2 linked regions of the Ovis aries genome follow. The protein of the gene in region 1 binds, or shares a complex with, the protein of each later gene. Links are inferred from orthologs where the notes say so. Each region holds a gene or a part of one and is shown in the gene's direction. Other genes may lie near its edges.

Region 1 (3,817 bases):
AATCTGCATTGTTTTATTTTTTAATTAATTAATTATTTTGGCTTCCCTGGGTCTTTGTCTCTCCTCGGGCTTTCTCTAGTTGCAGTTGAACAGGGGCTGCTGTTCAGTGCAGTGTGTGGGCTTTCTCACTGTGGTGACTTCCCTTGCAGAGCACAGGCTAGGCGGGCAGGCTTCAGTAGTTGCAGCATGCAGGCTTAGTAGTTGGGGCTCGTGGGCTTAGCTACTCTGGGACATGTGGAGTCTTCCTGGACTAGAGATTGAACTCCTGTCCTTTGCATTGGCAGGTGGATTCTTATCCACTGTCGGGAGGTCCAGAAATAGGCTTTGTTTTTACAGGTTTATAGGTTATGCTTCTTTCAGTAAGACCTTAAAGTGATAATCTAATTGAATGGAAAGTGTATGAAATTTGGAACCGTTATCTGGGATACTGTGTTTGGCTTCTTGGTCTACTCTGATTGTTGTGTAGTCTAGAGCAACAGTAATTTATCGTCTCCAAACATCAAATGGGTGTGAAAATCTAACCCCCAAGGATTGTTCTGAAGAGGTAATAAAATGATCTGGAAATTAATTCTGTATGCCTTATTTTTTATTAATTTTATAATATCTGTATGGTTTACTCCAGTGCTCGGTTGAGACAGAATAGATGAGCATTTATTTATCGTTTCAAAGAGAGTAAAGACTTCTGTGAAATGCTACTAGATTTGAGGAAATCTTATAGCCATGGTCTCAATAACACATAGTATTTTCAGTGAGGTTATAGTGAAAGTGGGAAATAGCTATTAACAGAAGGTTGAAGGTGCAATAGTTTGTTTTAGAAGTTCATAGTATTCAGGGGATGTTTCTGATGGCTGTATGAACTAACCTACCTTGGCATTCGGTAGGCAAGAAAGCAAGACTACTCCTGATGGTGAAGATAACGACGAAGTAGAAGAAGAGTTGGATGATGGGCCCTTGCTGGTTCCTCGAGTAAAAGTGGCAGAAGATGGGTCTATTATTTTGGATGAAGAAAGGTAAGTTAAGAGAGAGAGAGATTGTGGTTTTGAGAACAAATGAGTTTTGTCTAATGAGCAAGATTGAGTTTCTGTATTTCACACTGTCACGTTGACTGACGTTTATTTTTGCGTAATAGATGTTATAAATAGAAGGGTGGGTTATATTTGTTTATAATTTTTAGCAATTTTTTATAATTGTGTCCTTTATATGAGAAGATGGTACTGCTGACCTGCCACCCACTTATCTACTACCATTGTTTTACTAATTTTACTGGTAGTTGAAATGAGCTATTGAACTAATCACACGCTGTCCGCAACTAAGAATACATTTCAATGATTAATTCGGCCTTGATGTCAGTACTTATTAACTATTACCATATTCTGGTTGTGGTGTTAACTGTTGAAAATTCAGTGAAACATATTTTTTGGTTTTTAATTAACTTTCTGGTTTAATTTCTTAGTTATAACATTAAATTTCTCAAATTTGGCAGTATGAAACTTACTTCTCTTTTCAATGTGTGTTTCTTAAAAAAAGAAGATAAACTAGTTAGGGAAAAAAAAAAAAGAGGGATGGAAGTCTCCTTACAGTTTAATTAATAATTGTTTTACAGGATATAAATTCTATGATAAATGAAAATATAATGCTGTTAATAATAGCTGTTTATGCATGTTGTTTTCCACTATTTTGTGATGATGATTTTATTAAATTGTTAAAAGCATATTTAACTGCTTTGTGTGGAGGAATATAAAATGTAAATATAAAGTGTTTATATTTCTCAGTATCCCCTATTGGGTATTGCATGATAAGATATGTTAAATGTAGGAGACATACAGAAGTCAGTAAAAAACAGTTATTTAGTTGGCCCAGAGATATTTTACAGATTTATATTGCTGCTAAGGATTTTGAAATCAGGTTGGCATTAATTTTTGCTCCCTAGCAATCACATTTTAAATGAAAATTGGCAGATTCTTAGAAAATATGCATACTTCAAATGTATATTACTTTTTTGTTTTTTTGTGTTATACTTTTGATGTGGTTTTTGGCATGGTAAATTTCAGAATATAACTATTAAATCTCATTTACTGTTTGTTTCCTTGCATGTTTAGTGTGGATCTATTTAAAAATGTTTCTTTCAGTTTAACTGTAGAAGTTTTAAGGACAAAAGGTCCCTGTGTTGTTGAGGAAAATGACCCCATATTTGAGCGTGGTTCTACAACTACATATTCCAGCTTTAGGAAAAGCTACTACTCTAAACCATGGTCAAATAAAGGTAACTGATTTTCATTTTAAACTATGTAGATTATTTATTGGAAATGAAGTGAATTTGTTTCTTGGTTTCTGTGTTATACCAGGTATCCCCTGAGTAAAAAAAAATAAAATGCAAACCAGCTAGTTTTTTTCTCTAGCTAATTTTATTGGCACCTTTCCCCTGTCTCCCACCATAGAACTATGCCTCTGACTTTATCTTAGACATCTTTTTAGGGGTTAGCCTTATGATCATTTCAGGTGGAATATTCTTCATTGTCAAATCCTTGTGCAGCAAATATCATTTTAATGAAAAATTACCAATATTTTTAATGCTCATAATAATATTCTACCTCACTATTGTATAATACAGTCTTTAATGATAAAAAGTACATGTAAAAAAGTATATATTACCTACTGCATGTTGTTTGTTTTACTTAATTTTTATTGTAAAAATAATACAGTTTGTTTTGGGAAAAAATTCAGACACAACAGAGTAATACAGAATGAATTTCTGACTTCCCCAGTCCTGTTCTCTTGAGGCTAGTTCTGTTCTTGAGTATTTTTCTGGCTACTTTCCTTTCTTTTTTTTTTTTTTAACTTTTTTTTTTTTTTTAAATTTTAAAATCTTTAATTCTTACATGCGTTCCCAAACATGAACCCCCCTCCCACCTCCCTTACTTTCCTTTCATGTACACATCTTAGTTGCTTACATACCAGCAATATACTGGTTCTTTTTTTTTTTTTTTTTAATATGCTAGTTCTGACTGAAAGTTTTCTTCAAGGCACTTGAGACCAGATAGGCAGAATGCCTTTTCAGAAATTCCAGCTACTTTAGTATGAACATGCAAATTTCTTAAACCATATTTTTATATAAAAGTTTAAAGAAGGTGTTTTTAGATCCATGAGGCTTCTTGCAGTAAAATTGAACTATTTCTGTGTATGTGTTCATAGGTATATTTCTGTGATTAAAGATTTGATGGATTTTAATAAGAAACTTCAGTATTGTCAAATTTACTTTTAACTCAAAATATATACTTACGTAGGGCTTCCCCGGTGGCTCAGATGGTAAAAAAGTCTGCCTGCAATGCAGGAGACCCAGGTTTGATCCCAGGGTCGGGAGGATCCCGGAGAAGGAAATTGCAACCCACTCCAGTATTCTTGCCTGGGAAATCCCATGGACAGAGGAGCTTGGTGTGCTACAGTCCATGGGGTTGCAAAAAGTCAAACACGACTGAGCGACTTAACACCTTTATATACTTATGTAAGATTTTTTCCTCTGAAATATTTATAAGATTAATTCTCCATCTTTCTAAATCTTTTATTTTTACAGAGACAGATATGTTTTTTTTAGCCATCAGCATGGTAGGAACTGACTTTTCTATGATTGGACAGCTTTTTCCTCACAGAGCAAGAATAGAAATTAAGGTAAAGTAAACCCATTACATTTGTTGATTGAAAAGAGATTAAAAATTACTGTCTTTTAAACCTTTGGTTGAAATCTCAGTCCATCCTTTTTTACTACTGTTTCTGGTACATCTGTCCTTTATCATTCAAAAAGTAGTGTAGTATATTTCCC
Region 2 (4,590 bases), on another chromosome or scaffold:
TACCCTCCCAGTAAGGATGTCGATTGCACTGTCTGAAACTAACATCTTCTAAAATCTGCTAATGCCAGAGACTGCCTGAAATTCTCCAAGATCAAACAGAGAAGCAGAAATTCCCCACATACTTTCAGCATGGGCTGTAATAACACCCGTCTGTTTTCTTGGAGTCAGAGGGACTGGCCACAGTTCTTTGTAACTTTAACTCAATTGTCTTATTTTTCAAACATAATTGATTCTAAAACTTTCAAGTGTTAAAAAACATTTATTTATTTATGTATTTATGCCACACCACATGGCTTGTGGAATCTTAGTTCCCTGACCAGGGATTGAACCTGGGCCCTCAGCAGTGAAGGCACAAAGTCCTAACTACTAGGCTACCAGGGAATTCCTGAAAACCTTTATTCTTGATGAGTGCAATTGGGATTTACTTATGAGAAAACACATCCTCTTTGCTGACACTTATGTTATATTCAAACATGACATACAAAATCTCTCATTTGTGAGCTTGGTTTCTGGAACATTACTAGAGGCACATTTTTGCTTGATTCTTTGATCTATACTATACCATGCCAGGAACTTCGGAGCTAGAATCTTGGAGCATCTTAAAGCTTAAGGTTTTAAAAACATCTCAATTTGCTTAAATTCTTCAGACTGCCAAGGGCCTCACTAACCTCCATAGTTTTTCTCTCCAACTCCCTTAGACATTTCTTGCCTAGTCTCTGGAAGCCTCCCAGGTTGTCACTCTGCAAAGAGAGGAAACAACGTGCTTGTAGGGAAGCTGCTTTGGAAAGAACACAATTTCCTGCTCTCTCAATACACTACTCTCCCTTTTAGGCCACAAATTTTGTACTATGGCCAGAATCAACATTTATTAAGGGTCCGTCTAGTCAAGGCTATGGTTTTTCCTGTGGTCATGTATGGATGTGAGAGTTGGACTGTGAAGAAAGCTGAGCGCTGAAGAATTGATGCTTTTGAACTGTGGTGTTGGAGAAGACTCTTGAGAGTCCCTTGGACTGCAAGGAGATCCAACCAGTCCATTCTAAAGGAGATCAGCCTGGGATTTCTTTGGAAGGAATGATGCTAAAGCTGAAACTCCAGTACTTTGGCCACCTCATGAGAAGAGTTGACTCATTGGAAAAGACTGATGCTGGGAGGGATTGGGGGCAGGAGGAGAAGGGGACGACAGAGGATGAGACGGCTGGATGGCATCACTGACTCGATAGACGTGAGTCCGAGTGAACTCCGGGAGTTGGTGATGGACAGGGAGGCATGGCGTGCTGCAATTCATGGGGTCGCAAAGAGTCGGACACGACTGAGCGACTGAACTGAACTGAATTGAGAAAAAGGAGAGTCGGCGATACCCTTGGCGCTTTAGAAAGAATTGTTTGTGGCTGGCAACAGTTTTTTGTTTGTTACGTGCGTCCACAGCGATAGAAAGCTCACTCAAGAGTAACCCCGAGCCTAGACGGCCAACCTCAAACTAAGTACAGATCGCGGGGAATCCGAAGAGACAGTCCAGACCAGGAACCTCCTTTCCTCGATCACGTTTCTACCCGAGTCCGCAGAGGAACGGACCGGAAGCCGCGGAGAAGGTACCTACAGTACGGCTGTTACGCTGGCCGGAAGAGGAAGGTGCAACCCTACAAGAGTCCGCTCCTACTTCCTGTTTCGGCACAGTTGCTGTTGTGGGCGGTAGGGTCGGTTAGCTGCTTGGGCTCTGGACCGCTTGTGCGATGCCGGGTGGAGGCCGCTGTCCCGATTGCGGCTCCGCTGAGCTAGTGGAAGACTCGCACTATTCCCAGAACCAGCTGGTGTGCTCCGACTGCGGCTGCGTGGTCACCGAGGGCGTTCTTACGACCACCTTCAGTGACGAGGGCAACCTTCGAGGTACCTGTGAGGGCTTTTCGGAGGCCATGGATACAGCCTGGGGCGATGGAGGGATTGACGTCAGATGCTTCTTATCTCTTGCCGTCTCCCTGTCTTGAGCACACTTAGATATGGGAGAAAACAGTGAAAGTGAACGAGTGAACTTCAGATCAGGGGCTGCCATTATCTGTTTTCTTAGCACCATATCTGTTACATGTAGTAAATGAAACAGAGAGAAACAAAGTTCCACTGAATTTACCTAATTTGCCTATTTGGAAGCATTATATCAATAGGTCAGTGTTGTGTGAATGTGGAAACTACTACTACCCCAAAGCAGTTTTGAAAATTAATTGGCAAAAACTTATTTTTCTTTTTTTCATTTGTGTTCAAAGTCCCTGACCAGTGCAGCCCTCAAAATCTACAGGCAGGAAAATTGCCTGAATTGAATGTACAGGAGGGGTGGCTGGAAATTTGGAACACTTGGAACTGCTTTAATGCTAGTCCTAATTTTCTAAAGCTTTCTGTGTATTTGGTACTGCTTGTGGTTATAGAAAACCAGATGGACGTTTTACCTGCAAAGATGAGCACCTTCTGTGAGCTGGGGAGCGGATACCTGATGATTTGGATTCTGCTCCCTGGTTTTGTGTGGTGGGAGGGCAGGGGTCCGTGAATAGAGACTAAACAAGCTATTTTTTGTCCATTGTCTTACAGAAGTAACATATTCTCGAAGCACCGGGGAAAACGAACAAGTTAGTCGAAGCCAGCAACGAGGTGAGAATCAACCTTTTATGACACAGTGGCTTTAAAGAAAATTCTCCTTATGGTCCAGCTCGTCTGCTTGTTTTTTCTGTTTTCAGCATTATTATGTAAAGGTAGAGAAGAAGAGAATGGTAAAAGGATTGAGGTGGTTCTAAGAGAGGTAGCAATTAGGTGGAAGGTTTAAGTCTGCTTGGGTATGTTTGAGGTAGATTCGAGGAACCCAGGTCAAAGCTTGGTCACAAATCAAACCAACTTCCAAAAGATGAGGCACTGAAGTGTTGACTTCTTTCCACAAATGTCTTTGTGCTTTTCAAATGGCCTTACCAAGTGTCACTCTTATCATTGTAGAAAGGTCCATTATTTGTGCATGTGGTATCTGAGGTGAGTTTAACAGAACTTGCTGGGAGCTCCTTTGACTCCTTCACGTATAGTATCATGTCATCTGCAAACATGATATGAAGTGACATTTTTACTTCTTTCTAATTTAGATTCCTTTTAGTTTTCCTCTCTGTTTGCTATGGCTAGACCTTCCAAAGCTATGTTGAATAAAAGTGACGAGTGTGGGCATCTTTGTCTTGTTCTTAATCTTATAGGAAATGCTTTCAGCTTTTCACCATTGAGTATGATGTTGCTGTGAGTTTGTCGTATATGACATTTATTATATGTTGTTCCCTCTAGACCCACATTCTGGAGATATTATTATTATTGTAAATGGATGTTGCATTTTATCAAAAACTTGTTCTGCATCTATTGAAATGATCAGGCTTATTCTCAGTTTGTTCATGTGGTGTATCACACTGATCTTTGCATCCCTGGGATAAACCCCACTCAATCCAGTTGTCTGATCCTGTTAACATATTGTTGGAAATGCCTCTAACTCCTGCCGTGGGTTTTCCTAGGTCTTCGCCGAGTGAGAGACCTCTGTCGAGTGCTGCAGCTGCCACCAACATTTGAGGACATGGCAGTTGCCTACTACCAACAGGCACACCAGCTCGCTGGCATCCGCACAGCCAGGCTGCAGAAGAAGGAGGTGCTGGCTGGTTGCTGCGTCCTAATCACCTGCCGGCAGCGTAACTGGCCCCTGACCATGGGGACCATCTGCACCCTGCTGTATGCAGATCTGGATGTGTTTTCTGGAACCTACATGCAGATAGTGAAGCTCCTGGGGCTGGATGTGCCATCTCTGTGCTTGGTGGATCTAGTAAAGACCTACTGTAGCAGGTACCTGCCTGGGGGAGACACGGGGGTGGCATGGGTTCAGACCCGAATCCTTTTACTTCCAGCTGTCTCTTTTTGAGCAAGTCCATTCTACGAGGATGGACTTCTCCTCCTATGCCTGGCGCTGGTCGGGTGAATCCCATTTTACGTTTCTAGAATGTTGAATCATTTTCAAACCCCTTCGCTGTCATAGCAGCCTGATGCTGTAGGAGGGTTAAGTATCAGCTTTGGCACGGGGCTTCTGGGTTCTACCACTCAGGCCTGCTTGACTAGATGCCACAGCCCTGCCTCAGCAGGATCACGTTGTGTGTGATTAGAGCTGAAAGAGTATGAGCAAACTGACAGAGCTGGAGTTAGAAGGTAATTTTTTTATTTAATAAGTAGCTGTGTTCTTTTCTTTTTGTTCTGACAAATATGGTAGAAAGCAAAGGCAGTCAGTGTCGAATGACCTTGAGTTTGAAGCTTGGTCACTTCTACGCTGGATGACTGTGGGCAAGTTTTTCGACTCTTAAATGTACATAACAGGCTGTTGAGTAGATTAGAGAACATCTTGTAAAGCACTCACTCAGAATGAGGGCTGATGCTGGGGGCGGGCGGGGTTGTCGGTAGACATTAGTGCCCTTCCGCACTCTCTCGCCCTTCGCCTCTCCTGCAGGAGACTCTCCCTGACTTCTCTTGGTACCTGAATAAAGTTGCTACCCAGCAGGCTTGTGTGTTCCCGAAAGACTAGCATAGCTTGCCTATCTTCTG

What was found.
Region 2: BDP1 (region 1) and BRF2 share a complex: the UniProt entries of both Homo sapiens proteins name them as parts of the TFIIIB complex. The link is inferred for Ovis aries from reciprocal best matches to the Homo sapiens genes BDP1 and BRF2.

What each region holds. Positions count from the first base shown.
Region 1 is NC_056069.1:10,198,252-10,202,068, reverse strand, and holds part of BDP1 (transcription factor TFIIIB component B'' homolog), read left to right. Parts: intron 1-881; coding exon 882-1,010; intron 1,011-2,129; coding exon 2,130-2,263; intron 2,264-3,571; coding exon 3,572-3,666; intron 3,667-3,817. UniProt on the Homo sapiens protein: General activator of RNA polymerase III transcription. Requires for transcription from all three types of polymerase III promoters. Requires for transcription of genes with internal promoter elements and with promoter elements upstream of the initiation site.
Region 2 is NC_056079.1:32,198,955-32,203,544, reverse strand, and holds the start of BRF2 (transcription factor IIIB 50 kDa subunit), read left to right. Parts: upstream 1-1,670; 5' UTR 1,671-1,730; coding exon 1,731-1,884; intron 1,885-2,574; coding exon 2,575-2,634; intron 2,635-3,521; coding exon 3,522-3,843; intron 3,844-4,590. UniProt on the Homo sapiens protein: General activator of RNA polymerase III transcription. Factor exclusively required for RNA polymerase III transcription of genes with promoter elements upstream of the initiation sites.